Linked DNA regions of Macaca fascicularis. The main gene of each other region encodes a partner of the protein of the gene in region 2 in a complex. Links are inferred from orthologs where the notes say so. Each region holds a gene or a part of one and is shown on either strand. Other genes may lie near its edges.

Region 1 (5,061 bases), on a different chromosome or scaffold from region 2:
CAGTGAACTCTCATCTGCTGCCTTTTGACCTTCCTACTTTCCCGGAGTGTATTTTATTATCCCTTATATTTTACCTGTCCACTTGGAGAAGGAAATGTGACAGCACAAACACATGATGAGCTGGGAAAGCCTCATGCCTCTGTTTCCCATCAGTGTGTTCCATGGGAGCTGGGTAAGGGCAAGGGAAGGTATGGGAGGGTGTACTCTCACCCTTGTTCAGGAGACCGCGCCCACGGGAAAGTGCAATCCATCATCACTACATCATTACCATCAAACTGTGCCACCTCTCTGGTCCCCATCCTAGGGGATTGGGGGTGGGGATCTGTGCTCATGTTCACCTTATTTCAGGCAGTTATTAACCTCAAGTTGCCTGTAGGGTCTGTGAGATAGAGGGGAAGGAGTCTTCATCTCCCTCACAGATGGTCACCTTGTCTTCAGCACCACCACCCCCTCCCAATTGTCCTCATGGGATAACCTCCTTCCTTGGCCTCCCATCCCCACAGGACAGCCATTCTCTTCCTGAAAGGAGGGTCTTTTCAGGAAGTGGAGGACTTTAAATTCCTCCTTGGATCTAGGTTCACAGTCCTTAGAACCCAGCCCGTCCCAACTGTCTCTCAAACCTTCTCAACCACTCCCTATCCTTCTCCTGACCAAACTTACTCTAGCACCTACAGCTCGTTATGCGTTCTTGGCTTCCTAGAGATGGCACCTGCTGTTCTTTATGCTTGAAACATCCTTCCAGCTGCGCATGGTGGCTCATGCCTGTAATTTCAGCACATCGGGAGGCCAAGGTAGGCAGATCGCTTGAGCCCAGGAGTTTGAGACCAGCCTGGGCCATGGCGAAACCCCATCTCTACAAAAAAAGTACCAAAATTAGCTGGGTGTGGTGGTGCATGCCTGTAGTCCCAGCTACTTGGGAGGCTGAAGTGGGAGTATTGCTGCCTGGGAGGTTGAGGCTGCAGCGAATTGAGATCACACCACTGAACTCCAGCCTGAGCAACAGCGCGAGACCCTGTCTCAAACAAAACAAAACAAAACAAAACACTCCTCCATCTCCACACCACATGAAACATTCTTGGAGAGGGGGAGTGGGGAGGTTCTTCTGTGCACCCCTGAGCACCCTGCTTCCCTCTATCTGGAGGAAGGCCACATTGTCTGGTAAGTGCTTGTTTACTGTCTCTCTTCCTTCATGAGACTAAACTCTCCAAGAATAGAGCCCTGGACTTGTCTGCATCTGCAGAAGGGAGCCCCTAGCTTTGATTCAAAATAGGCTTGTAGGCCGGGCGTGGTGGCTCACGCCTGTAATCCCAGCACTTTGGGAGGCCGAGACGGGCGGATCACGAGGTCAGGAGATCGAGACCATCCTGGCTAACACTGTGAAACCCCGTCTTTGCTAAAAATACAAAAAATTAGCCGGGCGTGGTGGCGGGCGCCTGTAGTCCCAGCTACTCGGGAAGCTGAGGCAGGAGAATGGCGTGAACCCGGGAGGCGGAGCTTGCAGTGAGCCGAGATCACGCCACTGCACTCCGGACTGGGAGAGACAGCAAGACTCCGTCTCAAAAACAAAAAAACAAAAAAAAACAAAACAAAAAACCAAAAAAACAAAAAAAACCAAAATAGGCTTGTGGGCTTTTCATGAGAGGAAGAAATGGGTGAAAAATAATGATTATCATAATGAAAGTTTTTATTCATGTAAGATTTGGGGGGAGTCTGGTCTCCTGTATTCAAAATCTTATTTAAGGTCAAAAGACACTTGGGACCCATTTATCCCCACTGCACAGGTGAGCAAACTGAGGATTTGAGAGGTAAAGAGTAGATCTCACAACCAGTTAAGTGGTCAAAATACAAGTATGCCTGATTCCAAGGCCCCAGTTTCCCCCAATTACTGCACGGACAGAGGGCGAACTGGCAAGCTAGCGGGGCTGCTCTTCCGGCCGACGGGGCTCGAGAGCCCCAGACCCTCGGGTACCGAGACCGCCTTCGCCCCGGCGTACCGGCGACGCGTGCGCAGTGCAGTGAGGCGCCCCCTGCAGGCGGCGCGCAGGGGGCGGTAGCGGCTGAGGGGCGCTCAGTGCGCCTGCGCGCTTGTGGAGCTGGTGGCGGCGGTCCGCTGGGGCTCCGCTGTTCTCCGCGCTGCGGGCGCGGCCATGGCGCAGCCGGGGAAGCTGCTCAAGGAGCAGAAGTACGACCGGCAGCTGAGGTGAGCCGAGGCTCACCGAGCCGAGGGTGGGCCGGCGGGCTTCCCAGCGGCCGGGCCGGGCCTAAGGGCGCGGGCGGCGTGGTCGGGCCTCCCTCAGGCCTTCTTCCAGGCTGGGCCGGGCTGTGCGGGGCGCGGGAAGCCGGCGCCCGGGGCTCCCACCCTGGGCCAGAGGTCCTCCGCGAAGGCTGGGACCCTTTCCCCCGCCACGCGGTGTGCGGTTCGGGGGGCCGCGGTCCCCAGCGCCAGCCGGGTCGCTAAGGCGGCTGCCAGCTCCGCCTCGCTGCGCCCGGGCTCCTCGTTTTCCGAATGGGGAGGCCCGGAGCGCACCCCATCCCGGCCGCGAGGGCGGCACAGAGGGTTAGGTTTTGTTCTCAGCCGGGGCTGTCCAATGGAAATAAAATGCTAGTCTCATGTGAGCCGCAAATGTAATTATAAATTTTCTAGTAACCACACTAAAGGTAAAATGAAACAGGTGAAATTGATTTTTAAATACCGTTTAATCCAATATGTCCAAAACATTACTGTTTCAACACTATCAATATAAAAAGTTATTGAGATATTTTACTTAAATTTTTATTTCAAATTTTTTTTTTTTTTTTTTTTTTTTTTGGGTAGAAACGAGGTTTTCGCCACCTTGCCCAAGCTGGTCATGGGTATTTTCCTTTTTAAAACTGCCTTAGAGGACCGGCACAGTGACTCATGCCTGTAATCAGCACTTTGGGAGGCCGAGGCAGGCGGATCACCTGAGGTCAGGAGTTCGATACCAGCCTGGGCAACATGGTGAAACCCTGTTTCTATTTAAAAATTCAAAAATTAGCTGGGCGTGGTGGGGCGCGCCTGTAATCCTAGTTACTCTGGAAGCTGAGGCTGGAGAATCGCTTGAATCCAGGAGGTGTAGGTTTCAGTGAGCCGAGATCGTGCCACTGCACTCCAGCCTGGGTGACAGAGCGAGACTCTGTCAAAAAAAGCCCCCCCAAAACTGTCTTAGAAATACTGTATTTTACACTTAACAGCACATCTCAGTTAACACTAGCCTCGCTGCTTGTGCTCAGTAGTACATGTGGCTAGCAGCTACCTTAATGGACAGTGCAGGCCTAAGTCATCAGAAGGGTCCTTGGGTACTTCCCCACCCTTGCCTTTTCTGCTTGCACTCCCCATTCCTTGTTTATTGAGCGTCTTCTATGTCTTGAGGCTGTGGAGATAAAGCGGCTTGGCTTTCCTCCTTCCTGGAGCCTCTGAGATAACAGAAGTTATATGTCCCCAAGGACTGGAGCTTCTATTTGCGCCACTAGCCTAGTGCTGTATTAGAGGCTTTGGGCACTTAATTCTGAGAGCACCCTTGAAAGCAGCCATTTCCTGTGCCTTACAGTTGGAGAAACTGAGTCTTGGAGAAGTTAGGTAACTTGCCCAGAATTCCCCATATCTTTGAGCCAGGAGGTAAACTCAGGCTCTTCTGGCTTTTTTGGAGGTACTCAGTTACATCCTGCTTCCAGGCTTTTAGGAAAAGAAACAAGGTAACAGTCCTTATAACCAACTTAGGTTTTCTTGTAAATTCTTGGAGTTCTTGTGTTTCTAATGCAGGTATAACTGTGCATGACAGAGCTGAGAAGATAGTTGAGGTTACTAAGCAACTCTAACAAAAGAGGATTTTTGCTGAGGGCATTCCATTTAAGTCCCAAACTTTACCTTTCATTGTGAGAACTGGTTTTGAAGTGTCAAAGGGAAGCAGTTAGAAGCAAAATCCAGCAGTCAATAAGCTCCGCCTGACTTCACCATAGTTGGGCCAGCAAGATAGTAGAGAGGACTGATTCACTTGGCCTCTTCTTGAAGCATGTTACTTAGAGACACACTAGGATTCTTTTTTTTTTTTTTTCTCCAGGGGCAAGGTCTCACTCTTTGACCCAGGCTAGAGTACAATGGCTAGAGTGCAGTGGCAGGAACACTGTTCACTGCAGCCTCAATTTCCTGGGCTCCAATGATCCTCCTGCCTCAGCCTCTTCAGTAGCTGGGACTACAGGCATGTGCCACCATGCTTGGCTAACTTTTTTAGAGATGGGGGTTTGCCCAGGCTGGTCTCGAACCCCTGCACTCAAGTGATCCTCCTGCCTCAGCCTCTCAAAGTGCTAGGATTACAGGCATGAGCCACAGCGCCTGGCCTCAGTATCCTTTTTGTTTTATTTTTGAGGTGGGTCTCAGTATGTTACCCAGGCTGGAGTGCAGTGGCTGTTCGCAGGTCTGATTATTGGCACACCACAGCCTTGATCTCATGGGCTGGAGTGATCCTCCTGCATCAGTCTCCCAAGCAGCTGGGATTACAGACACACACTGTCTCACCCTGCTTGAGATGCACCAGTATTTTTTTTCTTGAAATGGAGTCTCACTCTGTTGCGCAGGCTGGAGTGCAGTGGTGTGGTCTTGGCTCACTGCAATCTCTGCCTCCTGCGTTCATGTGATTCTCATGCCTCAGCCTCCCGAGTAGCTGGGATTACAGGTGCGCGCCACTGCGCCTGTCTAATTTTTGTATATTTAGTAGGCCAGCCTGGTCTCAAACTCCTGACCTCAGGTGATCTGCCTGCCTCGGCCTCCCAAAGTGCTGAGATTACAGGTGCGAGCCACCGCGCCCGGCCAAGATGCACCAGTATTCTTAAATTTACTCTCCAATGATCCAAGCATCTGTCAACCATGTATCTCAGGTGTCTTCTACATGCCATACTTTGATGGAGAAAACAGGCATTTACAGTCCATCTGGTTCTTCTAGACGATTCCTCCATACATTTGACAGCTGTCTGGGCCCTTACGAAGTGGAAAGATGGATGCTCAGCAAACAAAAACAAATGAAGCCAGGTGCAGTAGCTTGTGCC
Region 2 (4,933 bases):
CTGTAATAAAAAAATAAGTCACATATAACTGAACACTTGCCTTAAGACACTATCAGTCCAAAATTCTATGCCTCTATTATTTAGTACTCACATAATTCTTAACATGCAATTAATTATACTCAAAGCTAAGATGTTCATTCCAATTCAATTCCAAAATTTAAATAAGCACATCTATATTCCTATCAAAATTAATTTCTCACAGTAGCACTACAAAAGGGGAGTATGTTTCAGAAAGCATTTTAAACTGAAATTTTAAATTTTTACATGAGGTCATAACGTTATTTTTCTCACGAAAACTTTCAACTTATATTACATGAGAAATGTGATGACTCAAATAGTCATTCAAACAAAATCAGCTGTGAATATTCAATTTCATATTTTAAGAAAAATTTAGTTTCACAAAACAATTTTATTAGTATTTTCATTGTAAGAGCAAATTAAAAAGGAAGCATTCTATTAGTTTTGAAACATTAAACTATTAGAGCAGTTATTTAAAAATAAACGTTTCTCACTTCAGTGCTCGGTTCGAAATCAGGGTGTGTGAAGGGTCCAGATCGCTCGAGGAACTTCTTTACATGGTTCCAGCGACCTTCCCAGTCTCCAGTGTCCCCACACCCACCATCAACAGCCATTCTGCACAGAACACAGTAAATTCAGCTGCAAAGATCAGTACGAAAAAAAAAACACCTACAACTATTATGGTATTCCCAAATGAAAAGGTAACCACACCAGACCTGCTCAAATAAAAAGGGAAATATTCAACGTGATTATGTTTATGCTTTGAAATTTTTTCTTGCCTATTATACAATTCACTTAAAGTTAAGAACTGCATGTTTCTATTTTTATTTCACCCAATGGATGAAATAAATCAGTCTACATGTTTTTGGTTTCCTAAAGAAATCCAAGGTCCAACTTAGGATATTGGTCTGTGTGAGAAATTGACTTCTCTACATTTGGTATTTACAAAAAAATCACTGCAAACTTCCTCAATCTGTTGCTTCAACACACTTGCATTAGGAAATATGAGATACAACAGAGAAAAAAAGTCACACTTTGAGAATTTTGATGCTTATGTGTCTGATGCAAATTTAGTATTTATGTGTCCTTTCCAAAGGTGTAATATAAAAATCATTTTGATGCGAGGACTTTTCACACACTTTTCTCAGAAATAGAGGTTATTTTTTCTTTTTCTTTTTCTTTTTTTTTTGAGACAGAGTCTCACTGTGTTGCCCAGGCTGGAGTGCAGTGGCATGATTGCAGCTCACTGCAGCCTTGCCCGCCTGGGCTCAAGCGATTCTCCTTTTCTCAGCCTCCCAAGTAGCTGGGCCTACAGGTACGTGCCACCATACCCAGCTAATTTTTGTATTTGTAGTACAGACAGGTTTTGCCATGTTGCCCAAGCTGGTCTGGAACTCCTGAGCTCAAGTAATCCGTCCACCTCGGCCTCCCAAAGTGCTGGGATTACAGGCGTGAGGCCACCGCACCTAGCAGAGGTCCTAATTTATTAAATAATCTCTTAATACTGTGAGGCGGCTTTTCTTGCCACTAAACACAAAGTTTTAGGTTACAATTACGCCACAGATAGGCATATAGATAGGCAGATAGAAACCTTTTAGAACGTACAACAGAATAAGGTGGGACTCCGCTACAAAATGCATCTATTTTATAATTCGTGTAAGATTCACGTTTGGCTGTGATTATTTTTAATTTTCTAATTTCCTATAACCCCACGGTTTCTACCGTCAAATATATTAGTAATATCCAATTTTTACAAAAGGGACCAAGAAGTATTGCCTAGCAATAAAAACCATAGGTTTGATGTCTGAGCTGTGTAGGGTTCCACGATCAACAGCACTGTGACCTTGAGCAGATTATTCATAGCCATAAACCTCATCTGTAGGCCGTTCATAGCTACTTATTTCGGCCATGAGGAGAGAGAATCACATAGCAGACTCAGTACAGTACATGGGATATGGTAAGCAATGTTTGTGATTTCATGTAAAAGTGGGAGGGAAATAAAAGGCAGGAAAGAATGTGAAATTAAGTTTGTCATTCCAGTCCTCTTGCAGCTGAAATTCAACTATCTGAGGGACATACATAAAGACCAAAGCACTGCTACTGGGAACTGGCACGGAAATTACAAACTCACCATAACCAATGCAAGAGTATTTTTTCCCCGCCCAGGCAGGGAGGGGAGTAAATTTTGTGGCGCTGGCCAGGTTAGAAAACACTTCGATTAAATCTGTCTCACCAGCATAGAACTAAGCATCTGATAAGAAACAGGTTGTGTAGTAAGTGGGAAAAATAGGCTGTTTGAGGTCAACAACCTCTTTTAAGAGTCAATTATTTTGCCAAAATGACTGGAGTGGTTAGCACAATATCTGACATGTAGAGTTATCATTAAAAGTTTGCAATTAGTACTACTGTCTCAGTGTTTGCAAAAGGTCACAAAACGGTCTTGTGCCCTTTTCCTGTGTGTTTAAGGTAGATTGCCTTTTCACAGGGTCACGGCTCTGACAATTTGGGATGGAGGAAGAGGAGTGCACAAGGGTCCTTCCTCAAAATCTTTACGTCAGGCACCCCGGAGGGCCCCTGCAAGAGCTGGGGCAGTGCAGCCTGGCCCCGATGCCCGCACCGGGCAGAGACCGGGAGCGGCCCGCCAGGCCCCCGGGGTTGCGGGACGGGGATCAGGGGATGAGGCCGCGCGGCCTGCGCTCCGGGTGTCCCCCTCCCAGCCCCCCGGGCCCGCTGCGGCTGGTCCCCTAGGCCTGGGGTGGGGGGAGGCGGGGGTCCCCGGAGAGGGCCCCGGCCTCCCGGCAGCACTAACTTCTCAGCCAGCAGCTCCTCTATTCTCCTTCTTTTCTTCTCCCTAAAAGAGAGAATAAAAGAAGGGTCAGCATCGCGCTACACACTGGGCGCCGCGAGGGGAGGGGGGCGAGGGGACGGGGCGGGGGGTGAGGGGATCCCGGGTGGCGGCGGCAACCGCCCACCGCCGCGCTCTCACAACCCAGCCCAGCCCTGCGCGTCTGCAGAGCCCCGGTACTTACGGCTCCTCGCCATCCGCCATATTGTTCTCCGCCTCTTCCCAGGTGCCCCCGCGCGGCGGGGCGGGGAGGAGAGGGACAGGCAAAGTGGGGAGGGGCGGGGCCGGCGAAGCGGGGAGGGGCGAGGCCAGGAACTGAGCCGGCAGGGAGGGGCGAGGCTGACTGCTGTCGATCTCCCGTGGGCTTTAAAGCCTTGCCCTGTAATTATAATCTTAATTACCTACGCTTAATTAGGTAAGTCTTATACAGTGCATAATGTTGCTCTGCAGCGTGAAAATGTAGATAACACATTATGCGTTTATACAAATTATATGTTAATACGTAATTATATAAAATATTGGTATATTCTATGAAAAACTCCTGAAGAACCATCCCAATATGCCACAGCTTTCCTCCGGGGGCAAAGATCAAGGAAAATTTTCACTTTCTGCTTTTCAGGATGGTTCCAAAGTCTTTGCCTTTATAAGTACTCACTTGAATAATAAATTTATCTAAATCAGTTTACAGTGGTAGGGTGGGAGATTATTTTCTTTGTACAAATCAGCATTAATATTTTCATGTCACATTCTGTTTGATAAGTTCAGCGGAAACGAAATGACTTTTAAAAACTTTTTTCCTGAGACAAATGTGTATATTTAGATACAAAGAAAAAAGTATAAAGGAAAACAATCACAAAAATCAAAAAATAAAAGTTTCAATTATTTTCTTCTAGAGTCAGAAATACAAATATACACTGTGAATCTGAATGGCTGGGTAGAGGGAAATGATCATGTTCAAAAATGTATATATATACATACACACACATCTCCTTTTATGGAGTGGGACAAGAATGAGATTTGGAATCAAAAGTAACTGATTTTAAATTCTTCGCAGTTATGACCTATGAGACCCTTAGACACTTCTATTTCTTCATTTGTAAAGTAGGCATAACACTATTCACCTTGTGAGACTGGTAATTAAGTCAAATCCAGAGTGGCTCTGAAAATACAGTTTCTGATCAACGTCACTGGGGAATTTTTTTACACAAATTTTCAGCCCCCCCTCCTCCCCCACCCCCACCACCCTCCTCCCCACCCCCGTCCCTGGCCTTCTGCAAAGCCTGGGGTTATTCTCCCTGGTAAAGTTTGAGAGCCACTGAAATGGGGTACATAAAGCCTGATGGGTACTCAGTAAATGTAGCTGCCGTTACTACACTGTGATATTTAATCTCCTCTTGTCCTAGTTTTCAGTGAACCTTAAGGAAAGCTTGTCCTTTATGGTCCCTCAATTAGGTTCAGTTCAATAGCATTCATTGAGCTGAAAGTCAGTGCCAGGCAGTGAGTGTGGGAGTAGAGTTCACAGTCCATATCAAGAGATACCAGCCTCCTTCTGCATCACGTGTCTCAGCATCAACTATGAAACCATTTTTTCTTGGCCAGACAACTCCACAGATGGTTTCACTGAGGATTTAACCTCAGTGCTTATCAAAATGGGCTCTTGTAGTCTGAACCCCCAACAATACTGGATACCCTTTGATTAGTGGTAGTGAGCATTACAACTGTCTCAGATGGCGAAAAACAGCAGGCACCTTAAGGCCACCTAGTCCAGTCTCACCCATTTCACAGGGGAGGAATCTGAGGCCTAGGGATAGAATACAGCTAGCAGATGAAGAAGTCTGCAAAGGCATTGGCCCTGCATCTGCTTGCTTTGAGACTAACACCCTGACTCACCATGGTGGTATTTTGATAAATGACACCAGGCGCTCTCACTGGCTTAGACTGATTGACGGATTACAAATAGCCATCTGCCCTTGCCAGGAATGAAAGCAACAGAGACATGCAAGCAAAACCTTCAACAGATTTATTTTACTTCAAATGGAACAGATCATAAACAATTAGACTATCTGCCAT
Region 3 (4,846 bases), on a different chromosome or scaffold from region 2:
GGGCAGCCTGTTGTAGGGTGCTGCAATGCCACCTGTGCCCAGACGTTCCACCACCCCAGCTTTGCAGGCCCTAATGGACCTCAGCTGCCCCACCCACCCCATAGAAGTAAGAAGCAGAGGCCATGCAGTAACATTCCCCTTTAATAGCCTGGTGCGACCTCCAGAGGTGGAGGGGTGGGTTGCCTGGGCCCAGCTACCCAGGCCCCTTACCCACCCACTCCACAGCCCAGAGTGGGGGCTGAACAAGCACCCAGCAGGGGGGCTAGACAAGCCAATTCATTTCCCATCGCTGAGTGGGTCGGGGGAGGCAGCGCCGACCTTAATCACATGGTGGTAAAAAAAAAAAAAAAAAAAAATAACTAGGGGCAAGTGGCAGGAAGGGGAGGTAAGGCCAAGGCAGGGAATTCCCCCACGGGCCGCCCCCCAAACCCCTACCGATGGCCCCCAATAAATATTTGCAGGGGATGCCAGGGCTTGTGGCCGTGGCGGGGGTGGGTATGCGCCAACCCTATTTCAGGCAGCGCTCGAAGTAGGTGGAGCCGATGTAGCCACCCCGCATGGAGCGCTGCACGTTCTGCTCAAACAGCCGCCGGTTGTTCTGCAGGACCTCTGCAGCCTCCTTGTTCAGTGGGTCCTCGGGGTTGGGCTCCTGTGGCCAGTACAGGTAGGGGGGTCAACAGGCCAGAGGGACAGAAGGCCAGTCTCCCCAGACCCAACCACCTATTCCTACTCACCAAGAAGAGATACTGCAGGCCATAAATTATGGAGTTTATCGTAAGGACTGGCTTCCAGTCCTCTCTGTGGACAGAGAGCATCAGGGTCAGAGCTTGGTGAGTGGGAGACTGCCAGAGGCCCCTCTGGTATTGGGCAGGTCAGATCCAGGGCATAGGAGAGTGAGCATGTGAGAGGCTGGGAGGGAGGGTGTGCAGCAGGCTAGGCCAGGGAGAAAACCAAGGTCAGGCCATGAGGAAGATGACTGGGAAATGAAGAAATCACAAACAACAAAGGGGTGGGAAGGGACAGAGTCTGATGTAGTGCCCACAAGACCATGAGGGGGACCTGGCAGGCAGGGCTGGGGAGGGCAGTAGAGGGCCCGTGCCTTCACCTGAGGATGTTGAGGCAGACGTTGCCCTCGAGGTCAATGTTGGGGTGATAGACCATTGTCTCACACTTCACCTTGGGGGGATCATGTGGGTACCCCTGGCCCACCTGGCTCCAGGAAAAGAAAGGAGAGATGGGTAGGTCCCTGGAAGGGCCTCAGCTGCTGCCTCCTCAGTCCAGGGAGCCATCCCTGCCTGCCTGGGACTCACCTTAAAACTGAACACAAACTTCCCACTCTTGTAGAAGCCCTGGGAGGGAAAGGGGGAGAAGAAAATTTTAGGGTTCCATCCTGTGGGGCCTGATGGGCAGAATATGTCTCCCTCCTCTCAGTGGGGACACCCTTGGTCTGCTCCTGGGAATTCAGCCATATGCACCCTCACCTCATCAGGACAGATGACCAGCTTGAAGTTGAGGAGGTCGTCTGGATCTGAGAAGCTGATATCACACGTCTTGGGCAGGTTCAGCTCGTTTATGTCTGGGTTTGGGCAGCAGAGAGTGGGGGTCAGAAAGAGGGAGGGGAAGAGAGAGAGAGAGGGAGCCAGCAGGACACTTAGGGCAGGTGTTTGTTAGCAGAACCCCCATGGTCTCCTCCTAGACCCCTAGGCCTCTGTCCTGGGCTGTGCTCCACACCTCCAGCCCTCTCCCTGTTCCCTAGCTTGGCTCTTGTGGATACACATCATACCCCAAACATGCATGTTTAGTTGTGTATGCGTGTCTCAACTCCTGGCCCAGGGTAACCCCCAACTGTTCTGTATCCACAGCTCCCAAATGCCCCCACTCCCAAACATCCTCTGACTGCCCTAAACTCCAGGCTCCCCATCCATGACCTCCACTCTCCAGTATCTACCTGTTCACCCAAACTCAAAGATCCTGCCCACCCCCACCAACCCTCAGTCCTCACTGTCCTTCCTCTTCTCTCTCAGACCCAGCTTCCCATCTGACCCCCACAATCTCAAGTCCCCAACCCCCACCACCCTGCCCCACCTCCTTTGACTCTGAGGTTCACAGCACAATAGCCTAAATTTCCCCTCACCCCTGTCTCCAATCCCTGGTACTCACTAACCTTCCTTCCTCCACCTGTTACCCCAAAGCCCAAATCCAAATTGCTGTGACTCTCAGGTAGGCCCACGAGTCCCTAATCCTCCAACTTACTTTACCCGTTTGACTCTGAGATTCCCAGAGACCCCAGCATAATACACTAAATCCTCTCCCACTCATATCCCCAACCTTTAGCCTCTACTATCCGTCTCTTTTTCGCCTGTCACCCCAAACCCAAGTTCCCGTCTAACCCCCATACTCTCCAGTCCCCAGCTCCTCCACTCCACTGCCTGACTCTGAGATTCCGAGTCCCTAGTACCAGACGCCAGGCCTTCCTAATATCCTAAACCACCACATACCGGGCCCCATCTCTGACCCCCGCCCCGTGACTGCATGATCCCAACCCTCAAGACCTGAACTCCGACCCCCCCCCGCGACTCGGGGCCCTCCACCTCTGACCCTCGGCAACAGCATTACCCCCTCCTGACTCTCAACATCACCCTGCCTCAGGCCCTGACCTCCGACCTCCAGCTCCAACCCCATCCCCTGACCCCCTACCCTTCTGGATCCGCAGCTGCGCCGCCGACGCCTTCTTGCTGCTGCCCTTGGTGCCGCCCGCCGACTCCTCCTCCTTCTTCTGCTGCTTCAGCGAGAACAGCTTGATCATCCTGCCGCCGCCGCCGCCGCTGCCGCCGCCGCGGGGCCCGGGACCCCGGCCACCCGGCCCCCCGCCGCCGCCCGCGTCGCCTCCGCTCCTCGGACCCGCCGCTGCGGCCTCCTGCGCTGCTGCCGCCACCCGCCCGGCCTGCCGCGCCGCTCCGCGCCCACCGCGCGGCCCGCCTCGGCTCCCGTAGTCCGGCCCCGGCCTGGCCCAGAGCCTCGGGCTCGCTCGGCAGCTCTCGGCCAAATTCGGCTGTTCTCGGGCCTGCCCGGCCCCGCCCCCACTGCCCCGGGCCGCTCCTTCCTTGCCCTCGCCCACTCTGGTCTCAGGCCCCGCTGCAGCTGCGGACTCGGGGCTCCCCGGACCGTGCCGTTTGCCGCTCAGCTGATCCCTCCGCGAAGGGGCTGCGGCTAGGGGTGGAAGGAGGACGCGGCAGCCGCGGTGACGGCGGGTGGGTATTGGAGGATCGTCTTCCGCGGCAGCAGCGGCTTTAGCGCGGAGGTCTGCAACGGCCTCGGGCGCCCCGCGGCTTCGGATATTTCCGCCGCCTGCCCGCTTTGGCTCTTCCCGCCCGGCCTGCGTTGTGCGCCTGCGCAGCCGCCGCAAACCCGCGTTGCTCAGCGATGGAGTTTGGGGTTCGGCCTCCTTCGGCTGGACTCGGGTATTTCCGTTCATGGAGATGACGCTTCGGCGGCCCTGCGGGTCACTTCCGGCGACTCTCGCGGGGCCGGGCAGGAAGCGGGGTTAGCCGCCATCTTTTAGTGGGGCAGACACGGGCCACTTTGCTCGCGGTCACTTCATCCTGTGTTGTGTATGTGCAGAGCGCGGCGTGGGTGGTCGTCTCCGCTGCTGCCGCCACCCACACGGCCTGCCTTTGACCCCATAGGTCACAGACAAGGCAGGGTGATCGCGGCAAGACCCTGAGTGAGACTAGAGGCGTTACCCAGAGGGTGCGAGGTCGAGCACCCTCACTGTCCTATCGCAAACCCAAAGATCCCCGTTCCTGGAGATTCTGATTGAGGTAAACTAACAAAACATGTATTGTGCCAGAGAGTGGTAAGCACTATGGAGGGTTACAGTGGTGTAGGGGAAGACCTGTCGGGGTGGACACTTGGGGAACGTGACGTGCGGGCGGAGCGTGGGCGCTATTGGCATGGGCCCCGAGTGCCAGCGGAGACGCACTGGAGTCTCTGCGCTTCCCCTGCTAGCTGGAAAAGGGGATGGAGGCGGGGTCAACTTCCCATCCAATCACAGCTCAGCGTGCCTCGGAGGGCGGGAGGAAACAGAACTCTGCGGGTCTGCGACTTCCGGCCGTCACCACGGAAACTACCGGCCCCGTGAGCGCGTGGTGTGGTGGCCTTTCCCTGCGGAGGGCCCCAGGCGCCACTCCTCTGATTCTGCAGATCCTCCCCCAGGAGTGGCCTCTGGCCAAGGCTGGCTTGTCTGCTTCCCCCGAGGCCAGGCCCCTAGTCTTGGGGGTTAGGGTGACTTGAAGCAGCAGGGGGAAGTCCGGCTGCACCCCGAAAGAAGCTTGGACACACAAACTTCAAGTCTCTGTTACTGGAAATGCCCAGGCCAAGACTAGCCTGACACGTGCCCAGAGCGAGACCTTCAGTGGGGTTTAAGGCTCAAGCTGTACCCTGCTGCACACAGACCACTTCTTTGAAACTGCCTTTCACCCTGTGTTACCTGCACCCAAGTCATCCATTGGAGGGGTGGGGGAGAGGGGCTGTGTGAAGGACCTGGACAATGCGATGGAAGGGGAAGATGGCTAGGGCAAAATAGTCAATGGCACTGGGTCCTGGAGATGCTGCCCTGAAGCCTGCAGTATGCTGAACTTGCGCTCTCAGCGTCTGTCCACTTTCACCTAAGCTGCGTTTCCACTGGTTTGCTGCTGGATCTACTCCTGACTGAATCCTTCCAATGTGCCCGGGGCCAGGGTGGGAGAAGTCTTCAGCTCTAGTGATGGGAATGATCAGCACAGGGCAGGGAAACTGGCCCAGGGCCTGCAGTCTTTGCTTCTCAGACTGGTTGGGGATCCATCTG

The links. Proteins that work in one complex are often made in the same cells at the same time.
Region 1: the proteins of UBA3 (region 2) and NAE1 are in contact, whole or in part, in a crystal structure (PDB 3DBR), measured with the Homo sapiens proteins. The link is inferred for Macaca fascicularis from reciprocal best matches to the Homo sapiens genes UBA3 and NAE1. Residues at the interface, in NP_003959.3 of Homo sapiens: Trp34, Glu35, Gly36, Arg37, Trp38, Asn39, His40, Lys43, Phe44, Glu46, Arg47, Ser48, Gly49, Pro50, Phe51, Thr52, Phe56, Glu83, Lys86, Asn87, Leu90, Ser91, Val106, Ser107, Leu109, Asn110, Arg111, Phe113, Leu114, Arg116; in NP_003896.1 of Homo sapiens: Glu10, Gln11, Lys12, Tyr13, Asp14, Arg15, Gln16, Leu17, Arg18, Leu19, Trp20, Asp22, Glu44, Lys47, Asn48, Leu51, Pro52, Gly67, Glu68, Ala70, Gly71, Asn72, Asn73, Phe74, Phe75, Gln77, Arg78, Ile81, Phe92, Glu95.
Region 3: the proteins of UBA3 (region 2) and UBE2M are in contact, whole or in part, in a crystal structure (PDB 2NVU), measured with the Homo sapiens proteins. The link is inferred for Macaca fascicularis from reciprocal best matches to the Homo sapiens genes UBA3 and UBE2M. Residues at the interface, in NP_003959.3 of Homo sapiens: His53, Pro54, Asp55, Glu61, Ser62, Phe65, Cys70, Gln149, Asn152, Asp153, Thr154, Arg157, Gln158, Phe159, His160, Ile170, Arg173, Trp174, Ser181, Leu182, Leu183, Asn184, Pro192, Ile195, Val196, Pro197, Leu214, Met217, Arg254, Met255; in NP_003960.1 of Homo sapiens: Lys3, Leu4, Phe5, Ser6, Leu7, Lys8, Gln9, Gln10, Lys11, Lys12, Glu15, Lys21, Gly22, Ser23, Ser24, Lys25, Lys26, Ala27, Gln31, Leu32, Gln35, Lys36, Ile38, Asn39, Glu40, Phe51, Ser52, Asp53, Pro54, Asp55.

Annotation. Positions count from the first base shown.
Region 1 is NC_088394.1:62,843,349-62,848,409, reverse strand, and holds the start of NAE1 (NEDD8-activating enzyme E1 regulatory subunit), read left to right. Parts: upstream 1-2,070; 5' UTR 2,071-2,147; coding exon 2,148-2,200; intron 2,201-5,061. UniProt on the Homo sapiens protein: Regulatory subunit of the dimeric UBA3-NAE1 E1 enzyme. E1 activates NEDD8 by first adenylating its C-terminal glycine residue with ATP, thereafter linking this residue to the side chain of the catalytic cysteine, yielding a NEDD8-UBA3 thioester and free AMP.
Region 2 is NC_088376.1:132,168,174-132,173,106, forward strand, and holds the start of UBA3 (NEDD8-activating enzyme E1 catalytic subunit), read right to left. Parts: upstream 3,078-4,933; 5' UTR 3,068-3,077; coding exon 3,048-3,067; intron 2,870-3,047; coding exon 2,828-2,869; intron 634-2,827; coding exon 513-633; intron 1-512. UniProt on the Homo sapiens protein: Catalytic subunit of the dimeric UBA3-NAE1 E1 enzyme. E1 activates NEDD8 by first adenylating its C-terminal glycine residue with ATP, thereafter linking this residue to the side chain of the catalytic cysteine, yielding a NEDD8-UBA3 thioester and free AMP.
Region 3 is NC_088393.1:66,290,605-66,295,450, forward strand, and holds UBE2M (NEDD8-conjugating enzyme Ubc12), read right to left. Parts: upstream 2,992-4,846; 5' UTR 2,807-2,991; coding exon 2,698-2,806; intron 1,577-2,697; coding exon 1,482-1,576; intron 1,350-1,481; coding exon 1,311-1,349; intron 1,210-1,310; coding exon 1,106-1,209; intron 799-1,105; coding exon 735-798; intron 650-734; coding exon 509-649; 3' UTR 124-508; downstream 1-123.